Linked DNA regions of Caenorhabditis elegans. The protein of the gene in region 1 interacts with the protein of each later gene in a pairwise test. Each region holds a gene or a part of one and is shown in the gene's direction. Other genes may lie near its edges.

Region 1 (5,283 bases):
GGTAATGTTCATTTCAAAATTTTAATTTTTAAATGAAAACGCTATGATTTGTTTTAATTTCTTGAGTGTAAGAAAAACAATATGTCGAAATTACCAAAACATTTTAAAAATTTGTGGTCATAATTCACAAGTGCCTATTCTTTTACAAAAAACCAAATATAAAATATTTCTTACAGCAGCATAGCTATTTGTAAATTGTTGCAACTTCTAACTTCTTTCAAAAAAAAAAACGTTCAAGTTCAATCAAAAACCCTATTTTTCATTGCCAGAAAACATTTCAAGAACTATTTCTAATATCTAGTTTTTCCTCCAGTTTTTTTTTCAGTTTGAAACCAACTTTCAATTTTAAATTGGTCGATGGAAGTCTGAAGATGGTAACTACTCACCCAAAAAACCTAAATCGTCACACCATTACAATCGTTTAGCAGACGCCTTCTTTCAGATGTTATCTCGAAAAAAAAGACTAGTACAGTACAAATGGGAAAAAGAGAATCTTCAGATTTTCAGGAGTGCGTTCTTTAACCTATTATCTAATTAAATTTCTGTGAAAGTTGATCAACATAAAAACCAAACAATCTGAGTTTGCTCAGGTTTTTTGCTTTTTCTGCTGTAATACAAATATTTATGCTGACACAACTCATGATGAATCACGAAAAAATTGTCTTTACATTGCAGATTAGGCACTTCCTTCAAAATAAACTGGCTAAAAACTACAATTCCAGTTTAAGATACGAATTTCAAAAAAAAAAGTGCAGAAAGTATTATAAACAAAATTCCATTCAGCAAAGAAAACGCTTGCATGTTGCGGCGTTGTTAAACAAAAATATTAGGATAAGTTCTTTACAAAGTATCATTTTTCAAATGCAGTCAAATTTGCCAGATCACCTAAATGTTTTCTCACTTGATTATATATTCCCTTGCCCAACACCACCGCATTGTATTGTTCTATTGAACCTTCTTAGATGATCAATTGTTCATCGGAACGTGTTGATCTTCAGTTGTACCAACTGTAATCCGTACCAACGTGCAAACGCTGATCCCATGTAAAAACAGTTACCTCGTGCTTATGACCGTTCTCTTTGTTTCTGTCACTCTTTTCTGCCGAAAACGTGGAGAGGGTGTTGCGTTCTTTTCGAAAGAGCTCGTCATGCTCCAGCACATAAACTGCTCTTGAGCTCATATTTATACAGTCGTGCTCTTTCACTCCACTCTCCTATATCTCTGCGTCTTATTATTGTCCTTCACCCTCTATCCGTCCATCATTATCGTCATCATCATCATCACCCATGTTTTCGTCTTCTATAATTGCCTGCTACCTATGTCCTCGGGGGGGGGGGGGGGGGGGTGAAGGAAAAAGGAAGCAAAGTCATTGGCATCTCAGCTGCCAAGTGGTAACAAAGTGAGGATAGGAATTCAATCCAGCATATTGAAAATGTCTAGTTTTCACCTCTTTTTGCATCTTTTTTTTCTTACCGTTCGCCCTCTTCCAATGCCATCGCCATGTATCGTGTTTCCGTGAGTAGTCTGCGTTTCACAATTACTCATCCGTCACAAAAAAGGCATTCGCGTTTCCACCTGGAAGCTCTTAGATACTTCAAACACTTTGCTTCCGAAAACCATTGACTTTCACTTCACTTTCCTTTCATTGAAACTATCAAAAGTGAATTACGAATAATAAGGAGAGTACCATTTGATTGTGCTGGATATCCTCCTAAGTCTTGATCTTGCTGAAAGTGATTCACAGATAGAAAGTGGCTTGAAATTTCTATGAATACTTCTAATATATGTTTAACGCTGTGCAACTTTGAGACTTTTCTTAGGAACCGTTAATTTTTATGTTTTCTAAATTTAATTTATTTTAAAACAATGTTTCCAGCAAACTCAAAACTATCAGTACTTTCAAAACTCCTCCCTTTTAAAGCTATTTTTCCAATTCTCTGTATTTTTTTTTAAAGTCCATGTATATTTGTTAGTTGAACAACCGCTCAAACAATATTGCCCCACACCTTTGAGTTTGCCCGCCAACACACACTTTCTCACTCGCCTAATCAGTTATTGACAGTGTACATTTAAAGACTTTTTGATCACGTTTCTCACTCTTTCCCAACTATTTTCTCTTGACTTCCCGTGTTCTGTTGCTCCATTCGTCTATTTCACTCGAATCGTCGATCTATTAAAACATGAGCTGTTTACCATGGTGAGTAGATTTTGCCTGTTAATGTTTCTGTTAATCAAAAATATTAATTGTGTTTTTACTTTCAATAAGTATCCGAATAATATTGAATTTTTAATCAAACACATACGTTTTTTTTCACAAGAAATCTATCATAAAAAAATGTTTCGAGTAAACCTACCTAAAAGCAAGGGTGAAGATTTTCGAAATTCCCCATATACATAGTTGACTGTCAGAATTTTCGGCAGTTTTCAACCTCAGTCATATTTCAAACAGTTTAACATTTAACCTTGACATAATTGTTCATTTTTAAAGTTCCGTCAAATACCTATCAATTCAAGACACATCAAGCTTGAAAAGCGAATATTTTACTACAAAATACGTTTATACGTTTTGAAATCTCCAGAAATGTTCAGACATTGCTGTTTTAAAATCTTTTCGCCAATTGACAAAACTTCGATTGCCGCATTTGTAATTGTCAGAAATATCTCACCTCGAAAATTACCTATGTCTATTAAAAAAAACAACCAAGTAAGATGCTACTCAAGGCAAGTTACGAATGTTTTAAAAGCCCTCAGAATTTGCAATTTTTTGCTTGCAAGCTTAAGTTTACAGCAGTACTAGTTTGTAATTTTTCTTCCTATAGACTCTTCCTATGATGTTTTTAACTTTTTTTTTCGACTTGTTCATCAACCTGACTACATTTTAATTGATGCAATTCCATATCAATCATGAAAAAACAAGTATTAACGGATCATCTTGTTGCTTAGGATAATATCAACAGGCAAGAAAGCAAACTAACATAATAAACCATCGAATCTGTGCACCAGCTGGCAGTTCACCTCTCATCACGGTGTAGCTATTTCGCCTACGTCTCGTACTCTCTAACCATTTCCACCACCCATTTCTCCACCATCACCATTCAACATTTTCAAACCATGCCCCGCTACTTGGCGCCTATTGATTTATGATACTCGTTTATGTTCCATTTTGAAATTTCTCATTTTCATTTGAAAACATGTTAGATATGTGACTCACTAGCAATGCCTGTTTGAGCCGCACGTGTTTTGCAAATTAGGCAAACGAACCACTAAGAATACATAAGAAGCGAATATCCTTTACATGTCCACTTGGCATCCCTTCGCTCAATCAACTTCTATTCATTTCTTGTTTCTAAGTCCTTCCGAACGGAGTAGTACTCACAATTAAGGTAATCACAACCCTGTTATCCACTATTGTCGTATGTGTTTCTATTTTGAGATTTTTCCCACAGAAATGAATAGCTTTACAAAGTTGCTAATTAGAAGTAAGTAATTTGAGTCGTGTTTTATGCGATTAACATCATATTTCGAGAAGTACGCGAAAATTTATATATTTGTTTAGTTTGAAACTACACGTAATTTTTGTTTTTGAAAGTTGTGTTTCGTTCTTGTTTAAAAAAAGTGTTATATCTATAAAAATTAGATTTTAGTTTTTAATTTTTAAATTGAAAATTTTTAAGACTCCCTATTCCTTGTAAAAATGTTAAGGAAAAAAGCGTTTTTTTTCACAAATTCATATTTATACATTTTTTTGAGAATTAGTCGTTGTCAGAATTTTAAATTATAGTTTTTTTCTTTTTTTTTTTAAATATCTGTTGTAGATTTTTTGCATTTTATTTCCCTAAGAACTTAATCCTCCTTACACCGTACATAGCCAAAAACCAGCAAGTCCTAATTAATCATTCTCAAAGCTGAGAAATTAAAATTTTAAAAACTATATTTCGCCAGTAATTTTTATGAAAAAAGCCATGAATGCATGTTTGAAACGCTTTGAGTTTAAAACGGGAACATTTTTTGATAAAACATTGCTTCAAAATCCGTAGATCTTCAAAAACCACTTTTTTTGTTGGAAATTTTTACTTTTAGGAATTCTCGTTAACCCTGAACAGTGTTTTCTTTTATTGTTCACAGTCATCATGTAGACTGTTCGAATTTAAAGTTAGCTCAATGTTTTAAATGACACTAATAATAACTTGTTTTGTTTACAAAAAAATGTTATATTTACAAGAAAAAAAACAAACAACATTGACTACGTTCCAACTGCCCAACTCCTGATAATGATGTCACTGTCACCAGAATTCCCATAATAATTCATATCAGTACTCTCTTCCTGGCGGGGCACTTTTATCTTCCCTGGAACCTTGAAAACCGGTTAATTTCATTTAAATCATTCATTTCGGTTGGATTAGATGAAGCTTCCTCTTTTTCTTCTGCTTAAGGAGTGAAACAGAATCCCATACGACTTTTTCATCGTTTCTTCATCACATCCACCTTCTGTTTCACTGTTAGTCTCACCTCACCTTCTCCACTTCTCACACCTTTTTACGATGTTCTATTAGAACATTGTGTATGCGATTGAGTGAGTGTGTATCTGTATATGTATGACCTATGCAAATTCTTTATCCGTTCGCAAAATCTGCGTTTATTAATACAGCGTGCACTTTTTCAAGAAAGTAACCGAAGAAATTGACGAAAAAGGAGAGATCGGGCTGCCTATTTCGAGGACAACACATTCCTTCCATATTCTTCCGTAAAATGTTCAGACACTGGTCCCCTTCTAACTAAAACTAGGTCTTCATATCTATCAAATAAGTTGCGTTAGAATGGAATCTGATTCTGGTCGCTTTAACTTGTACATATTTTCCGATAGTGTTGGTCTTTCAAGTGTATGCCATTAGTAACTTGTTAGGCAATCTTCTAGGACATTGGTCAAAAAGTCCGTTGTTCAATTACGTTAAGCAACGGATGAATACATGTTTTTGTTTTTATTCGGTTTTCACTCACTCTTTTCACCAATCAGCTGTCAAGGTTTCATATTCCTGTATGGAATTTTGAATTCAAATTTTGATTCCCTGTTTTTCAAAATCAAAACAAATACTTTTTTTCAAATTTCGCCATAGGGTGCTATACTTAATTTTGTGTTCTAGAATTGTATTCTTGTAAAAATAACAAATATTTCCCGTATGTCAAAACTGTCTCACTACATTATATTTTTGTGTCAGTTTTGGGAATTATTTTAGGTCAAAAATTCAAAAAAAAAGAAAACGACAAATGTAGTGCACATTCAGA
Region 2 (6,879 bases), on another chromosome or scaffold:
CCCAATTCCCCGTTCCTATTACGGCGAGAATTTGGGAAACGAGAAAATGGCAGGTCTGGCGTGTGAGGATTATTCTGGAAAAGTGTATTCGATTGATTTTGTTCCCGGGTTTGATGAGTCTCAAGTTCTTCAACTTTTGGAGGCTCTTGCTCATTTTCATGCGAAAATTATTGAGATAAGTGATGAGATTCCATGGAAGAATTATGAAAATGTGCTTTATGATGCGGCCTATATCAGGATGTTGGTGAGTTTTGAGCGGTAGGGAGGCAGGCACGAGATATTCAAATAGGCCTGAAAATGTGCCTGTCTGCCAGTGAAGCCCTAGGTATAGTAAGAAATAAAAAAAAAAGAGTATATTGCAATCGATTGCAATCTGGGCACATCTTTTCAAATTTCGAATTTAAAATTGGGCACATCTCTTTGATGGCCGCGAAAATTGGTGGCCGAATATTTTTGGAACTTATTGGAAATTGACTTTTCACAACAACCCGTAAATATGGTGTATGGTGTTTTGCTTACCTGAAAACCAGAGCGGCTCTTTCTCACGCTTCAGAATCAAAATTCCAGCACAACGACACCCTTGATTTTGAAAAGTTATGCCCGGCGGAGCTCTCCGGAAGAATTCAAGAAGTTAAGCATGCTTTTGATGAAGATGGAGTTAGAAATTCCGAAAAGAAAAACGAAAAACTTGGAATGCCATTGGTGATATGTCATAATGATTTGAACGCGTCAAATGTTCTATGGAATAATGAAACTGGAAAGGTAGAGTTGTCCAAGAGGACTACGTGTCATAGAATATAAAATTACTCCTAATAATAAAATTGAATAATTTCAGATCCAGGCATTTATCGATTTCCAGCACGTGTCAAAGGGTCCCGTCTCCTTTGATATTATTCGTATTTTGTGCCTTGGATTGTCAGTGGAAAATCGAAGAGCAAATACTCAAAGGTATCTTTTTCTAAGTCTAAACATTTTCAATAACCGAAAGAAGTAAAAATTGAAATGGCCCGCTTTTTGGCCGAGATTTGAAAATCGGGTTCGGAGATATAAAACACATTTCAAAACAAAGAGTCAGTTTCCATTTTCCAGATACCTGAACCACTACTATACGACCTTCAAATCTCATTTTTCCACGGCTCCCTTCACTTTCTCCCAACTCGAAGAATCCTATCGAACTCACTTCAATTTTGTGAATGCCACGTCACTATTCAGTCTGTCGTATTACTACAAAATGTATAAGGATGAGAGTTTGGATTTGAAAAGTGGAGCTGACGAAAGGGAACACAAAGCTCAGGAGATTTTGAGACGGACTATCGGAATTTTGGATGATATGTAATAGAAGAATATTTTTTAAAGATTTTTATATTATACATTAAAACAAATAAACTACTACTAATATTTGGAATTTTTTAAATTTTGATGATGAACAAAGTTGCTTAAAACATTATTTCAAATATGACAACACATTTTAAATTCTTTACGAAACAAAAATAATCCTAGTAAATCTTCGGTAATACATTAAAAACATCAAAGGTTTCGTAAATCAATGTTAAACAAATTGCGAAATATCGTCCGACTTGCAGTCAAACACTAGAGTATACATATACATAATACCCTTCCGTAACCCGGTTTTTAGCCTCAAGAGATTACTCATCAGATCGACACATGTTTTCTTTTTTCACTTCAACATGCTGCGTCTCTTGTCAATTTGATCTGAGTAATCTATGGGAGATCAGCAAGAACAATTTGCTATTTGCTAGAAATTGATAACACTTTTTGAAATATTTGAAAGGTAGTTTCTATGCTAGATTTTTCTATGTTAATCTGAATTTTAACATTTTTCAATTGATTTTATGCAGTACCTGAAAGTGGTCAAAATTTTGGAGCCATCGAACGACGCTTCAATATTCCGCCATGCTACAAAACTCAAGATTCCTTACAAGCGTCTTTGGGCGGAGCTTGAGCACGGGTGTCATTGGAGCTTCAAACTTCTTGGCTTCCAATTCCAAATGAATCATTCTTTCAACACATCACCTCCTTCTCAATAATTCCTTATCACTACTCTTTTTCCAACTGCTTACACGTTTTTATCGGTTATTTCTCTATTCCCCTTTCTCTCTCAGTTACTCCGGGTGTCTGTTCTCCACAGTTTTTGCAACAACTTGCGTGGTTTGACCATTGATTTTTTTTGCCTCTTGTTACTTTATTCTTGATTTAAGACAGGAACCGGGTTTATGGAAAATGCCCAACGACTTGCCGTTGCTGCCTCCGAAGAATCAGCACAAACACTTGGATAAAACTATGATCTCACTGCCGTCGGATTTCAGGTAAGGAATAAAAGTTGAGGATGTTATGTTAATCCGTACATTCGAATTGGAATGTATCTGCAAATTCGTTCTTGAAGAACATTAGTAGGTTAGCTTCAAGCGGGATTATGACATGTCGACGTTTTAGGCCCGAGAAAGAAGCGGAGTTCTTGCACTCTCCCCTCCCCCACACTCTCTAACCAACCCATTTTTACAGTGTAATAACTTTCATCAAGATTTAGCCAATAGCTGATTGATTGTGCTGATTGTGCTTTTTTTAATTGATATAACATTTAGAAATGAGGAACATTTAGAAACATGAACAGTTTATTCAAAAATATTAGGCTTACAACACTCTACACTTATCTCATTACAACATTCTTTTATTATCATATTGACATCCATAGACTGAAATTCCAAGTTTTAGAAATCAGAAACCTTGGAAACAAAACTTACCATTTTGCTAGGTAATTTAGCTGACACAGCTGGAACCGCCAACAATTCAGTCATGAAAATAATCAGTGATAGAAACAATAATGCAAAACTAGCATACATGTCAACTATGAATATTAAGTTTAAAATTGTTATGTAGTACCTAATCACACGTGGACTAGCAACAATTGATAAAACATTGTTATATATTATAGGTACCAAGCGTTAAATCTTACACTATGGGCTATTGTCGTAAAAAATAAAATAAAATAATACAAATCACGTTACCTGAAATTTTTTAAATTCTCAATTTTTTCGCAATTCGCCATTTTAATTGTTTAAAAAGATATGAGAGGAGGAGAGTTAAGACACTCAGCTTCTCTGTACTCTCCCGTGCCTCCATACGTCTAAAACTTACAATTTTCATACGAATTAGTTTCTTACAATTAGTAGATTCGGAGACGAATTAGTTACATTCGTATTAGTTTTACTCATTGTGTTTTAGGTTTTAAACAATCTATCATAGTCAATTTTTATATTACAGGCATTTGGCTCATGTCGGTCCAATGGGATCATCGGAAATTGAAAATCTTCGGACGAGCGATAATGTGATTGATACGGTTAATGAAAGGTTTGTGATCTACAAGCATTACTTGAATTCAATGTGGATGAATAAAGAATTCAGCAGCTACTACATAAGACCCTCCTCGTCGAATAGTACACTCCGATCGCAGAGAAAAGAAAAAGATGTAGGGAACTATTTAATTACTTTTCTCCAAAAAAGTTCAACTTTTCAGAGAGTTGGACTAGATGATGCTTTCCCATCAGCTTCAAAAAGTGAAGAAGAGGTTGAAGTTGTCAGAGGTTACGAGAATCAACCAACATCCCACCAATACATAAATATTGCTCCACCACGTCCGAGCAAGAAAAATTATAAGGCTCCAGCTCCCCCTACTCCTCCTCCACAGTGAGTATTTGTATGACATTTTCTAACAACACAGTTTTTGAATTAGTTTTTTACCTCAATTCCAAGAAGTACTTCCTTTAGAATTAAGTTTCTTACTGGCGCTTTCAAATTTGACAACTGAATCAAAAGTTGGTTGAGAATTAAACTTTCAGGAACAGCAAGCCGAATTTGATCTTCAACGCCCAAGACGACGAGGAGGAAACATCAGAAATCTCAGAGCAACCTGTAGTTTTTCGGTATTTCTTGATTGGACCCTGAAGTTTAAAAATTTTTCAATTTTCAGGTCAATCTCCCACACTTCGAATATCTCAACACACATAGCTCCACCTCCAAAAATCCAAACCGCCGACCGAATCGTTGCACCGAAGCCTAACTCTCTGGTGATCGAAAGACCGGGTGATCTTGGTGGTGCTTTTAGTTTCGGTCTCGATGATTGCATTCCAATTGTTAAAAGTACACCACCTCTCAATACACTTTCTCCGTTGCATCGGCCTTTGGCAATCCCGAAGAATCAGGAGGAGACACCGATATTGAGTCCGGCGAGTCCGCCGGATGACTCGAATTATATGTCAACTATTCGGAGCACATCCGTTCAAGGGAGAAAGATCTTGGATGAGCTTGACGATTGGTTGGATGACCTGGATGATCTCGATAGGGATCAATTATCCACAATCAGTACTGACGAATCGGGTTATCCGACGCTTGCACTAGAAAAAGATCGGGCTTTTATGAAGCATTTGGTGGAGAAGTATGAGTTGGGGGTAGCTCCAGAGACAATTAGACTTCGGAAGAAAAAAGGACCGGCTCCAAAAGCTCCAAGCCTCCCTCCAGACCTCTCCTCTCCAACATTCCAAGCTCCAGGATTTATTCCTGCGTTCTCCGCTCGGCCTGTGAGTATGCCTCCCAACCGACCACCTCCCTCATATGAAGCTCCAAGCTTTGATGCTCCCGAAGCTCCTGGTACAGTATTAATCAATGGAAGAGCCTTGACAAAGCAAAATGCGCTAGACCTCCGCTCAAGTGACGAAAGTGGAGTACCTCCTGCAATTGCCAGGTTCTTATATGATAAGAGGATCAAGTCAGCAACAATGCCAATGTCCATCGGAAGAATGACGTCTTCATCTGGGAACACGGATGTTTCCACTACCTCGTCAAGATCAAATGCAGATACTGTGTCAAGTATTCTGTCGACGGTTGGGGAGGATGATGATGTGGAAGTTCTGAAAAGGGATCGGGAAGTTGAAGAAGAGTTTGTACCGCCCGTGCCAAAGCCGAGGAGCAGAAAGACGGTAAGCTTTCTTGTGTGATCCACAAGATCAGTTATGTAGGTGCAACATTAAGAGAGGAATTACGGAATTAAAGTATTACTTTCAACTTTTGAATCATATTTCTGACCATTTGATGAGTCACCATAAAATAGATATTTGTGAATCTGAATGAGAGGGGGGGGGGGCAAAAGTTTCAAGAACGGGTGCTCCTGAACCTAAACGATATTTGCTCCAATTACTTGGATCTAGTCGTACTCACGATTTTCACAGTTATTCTCACATTTTCGAAAGCAAATCAGTTCCGCTACCCTTTGACCTGATTCTATAATTTATTCTCTCCCCTCTAGAACAAATATAAATCTATTTAAATGAAACCGATACAAACATCAAAAAGTCAACAATCACCAATGTTCTTCTTCATTTGTTTTTCTTCGCAGGTCTCAACGGAACCGTTAAAAGAAGAAGAAGAAGAAAATGTCGAAGAGGAGATAAAGGGCGAAAACGTGATTGGGGAGGAGTTTCAAGTGGTGGGAGATACAAAAATAAATGATGAACAAGAAGATCGGGTGGAAGCGACAAAAGACAAGGTAACTAGTAGTGATAAAAGATCAATCGCCAAGATAAGCTTATTGGAATTTGAAATAGTTTGCTAATTACCCCTAGTTTCCAATTTTTCCGAGAAAGTACTTTTGTTGATTGGAACTGCCATTCATAGGATCACAAGGTGATCGAAAACAAAAAGAAGCAGCTGACTACTTGCGAATTTCCAGTAGAAATAGATTTAGAGAAGCAAGAAATTCGAGAAATTCTTTAGACAAAATTTTTCTTTGGAATGGTGGGTCATGGGTCCGCACGTACCCAAGTTTCTCTCTGAGACTGAGCAAAATGTATAAGTGGGCTCTCAATACAATTTTCTGTCATAGGTACGTGCAGACATTTTTAAGCAAACGATCGATCAAACCAAGTAATGAGCAAAAATAGTGCTAATAGGTTAAGATTTCCTACGAGGCAGGTTGCATACCCTAGCAGATATTTCTAAATAGATTTTGTACCAAATATCATTAACTGGGGAGCCTTCAGTAGTTGTCCTATTTCCTGGCACTTGTTAATTTTCAAAAAATTATTCAAATTCCCACTATTTTCAGATTAATGACGCTTTCATCATGCTTCCACCACCTTCAGCAGCCGCAATGATCCCATCAGATTCAGAATCCGAAGACGACGATAATTTCATTATTACTCGATTTTAAATTATTTGTTTTACTTAAATTCTTAACTAAACTCTAGTCAATTGTCTCTCTACATTCCAGTGCCAAACCACCATTCCATTAAAAATAAATTTCTCAAATAAAACCGATTCGATTTGCGAAAAAAGCAATATATTTTATTTTCATTTCTTCACAGCACAAAAAATAACAATTTGGAAGGTATGTACAGAATCCGTTTCGATCAAACGCGTCAATGGGAGGTTTCAAGCAACTTTTTCAGATGCTCCTCGGCGGCTTCCAGATCATCACGGAGATAACGGAGTTTTGCAGGGGTCACAAATTCCTCGTTGTATACGTTTTTCTGGAAAAGTAAAAGGGTTTAAAGGGTGGAATGGGATAATCTTTTGTGGCCTACACTATCTTTTTTAAGTTGTTAACTGATCTACAATCTCGAAAATTCCCCGTAAAACTGCAATTTTTGAGTAATATGTTCAGTTACAGCCTTTTGGAAACTCAAAATCCTAGTGCTTTGTCATTTGAATTTTGCATTTTGTCCAGCGTACAGAATAGTTTTTGCTAAGTAGTCGAGAAATTTTATAATTTGACGTTTCAGAGAAATTGAAAACTATTTTTTTCCGAAAACGGGCTTAACTATTGCAATTTTTTAAATTTGAGGTTGTGGAATAAAGTACTGTTTC

What was found.
Region 2: the proteins of sdpn-1 (region 1) and F09F7.5 interact in a two-hybrid assay, tested with the Caenorhabditis elegans proteins (3 studies listed by BioGRID).

The regions. Positions count from the first base shown.
Region 1 is NC_003284.9:7,994,993-8,000,275, reverse strand, and holds the start of sdpn-1 (SH3 domain-containing protein), read left to right. Parts: upstream 1-2,180; coding exon 2,181-2,197; intron 2,198-5,283.
Region 2 is NC_003281.10:5,544,891-5,551,769, forward strand, and holds F09F7.5 (CRIB domain-containing protein), read left to right. Parts: upstream 1-2,219; 5' UTR 2,220-2,241; coding exon 2,242-2,327; intron 2,328-3,282; coding exon 3,283-3,369; intron 3,370-3,423; coding exon 3,424-3,487; intron 3,488-3,535; coding exon 3,536-3,705; intron 3,706-3,857; coding exon 3,858-3,941; intron 3,942-3,988; coding exon 3,989-4,994; intron 4,995-5,410; coding exon 5,411-5,560; intron 5,561-6,118; coding exon 6,119-6,223; 3' UTR 6,224-6,325; downstream 6,326-6,879. Other genes in the region: putative kinase-like protein D1044.1, read left to right, coding at 1-244, 568-762, 836-948, 1,090-1,336; F09F7.6 (Ferritin), read right to left, coding at 6,432-6,542.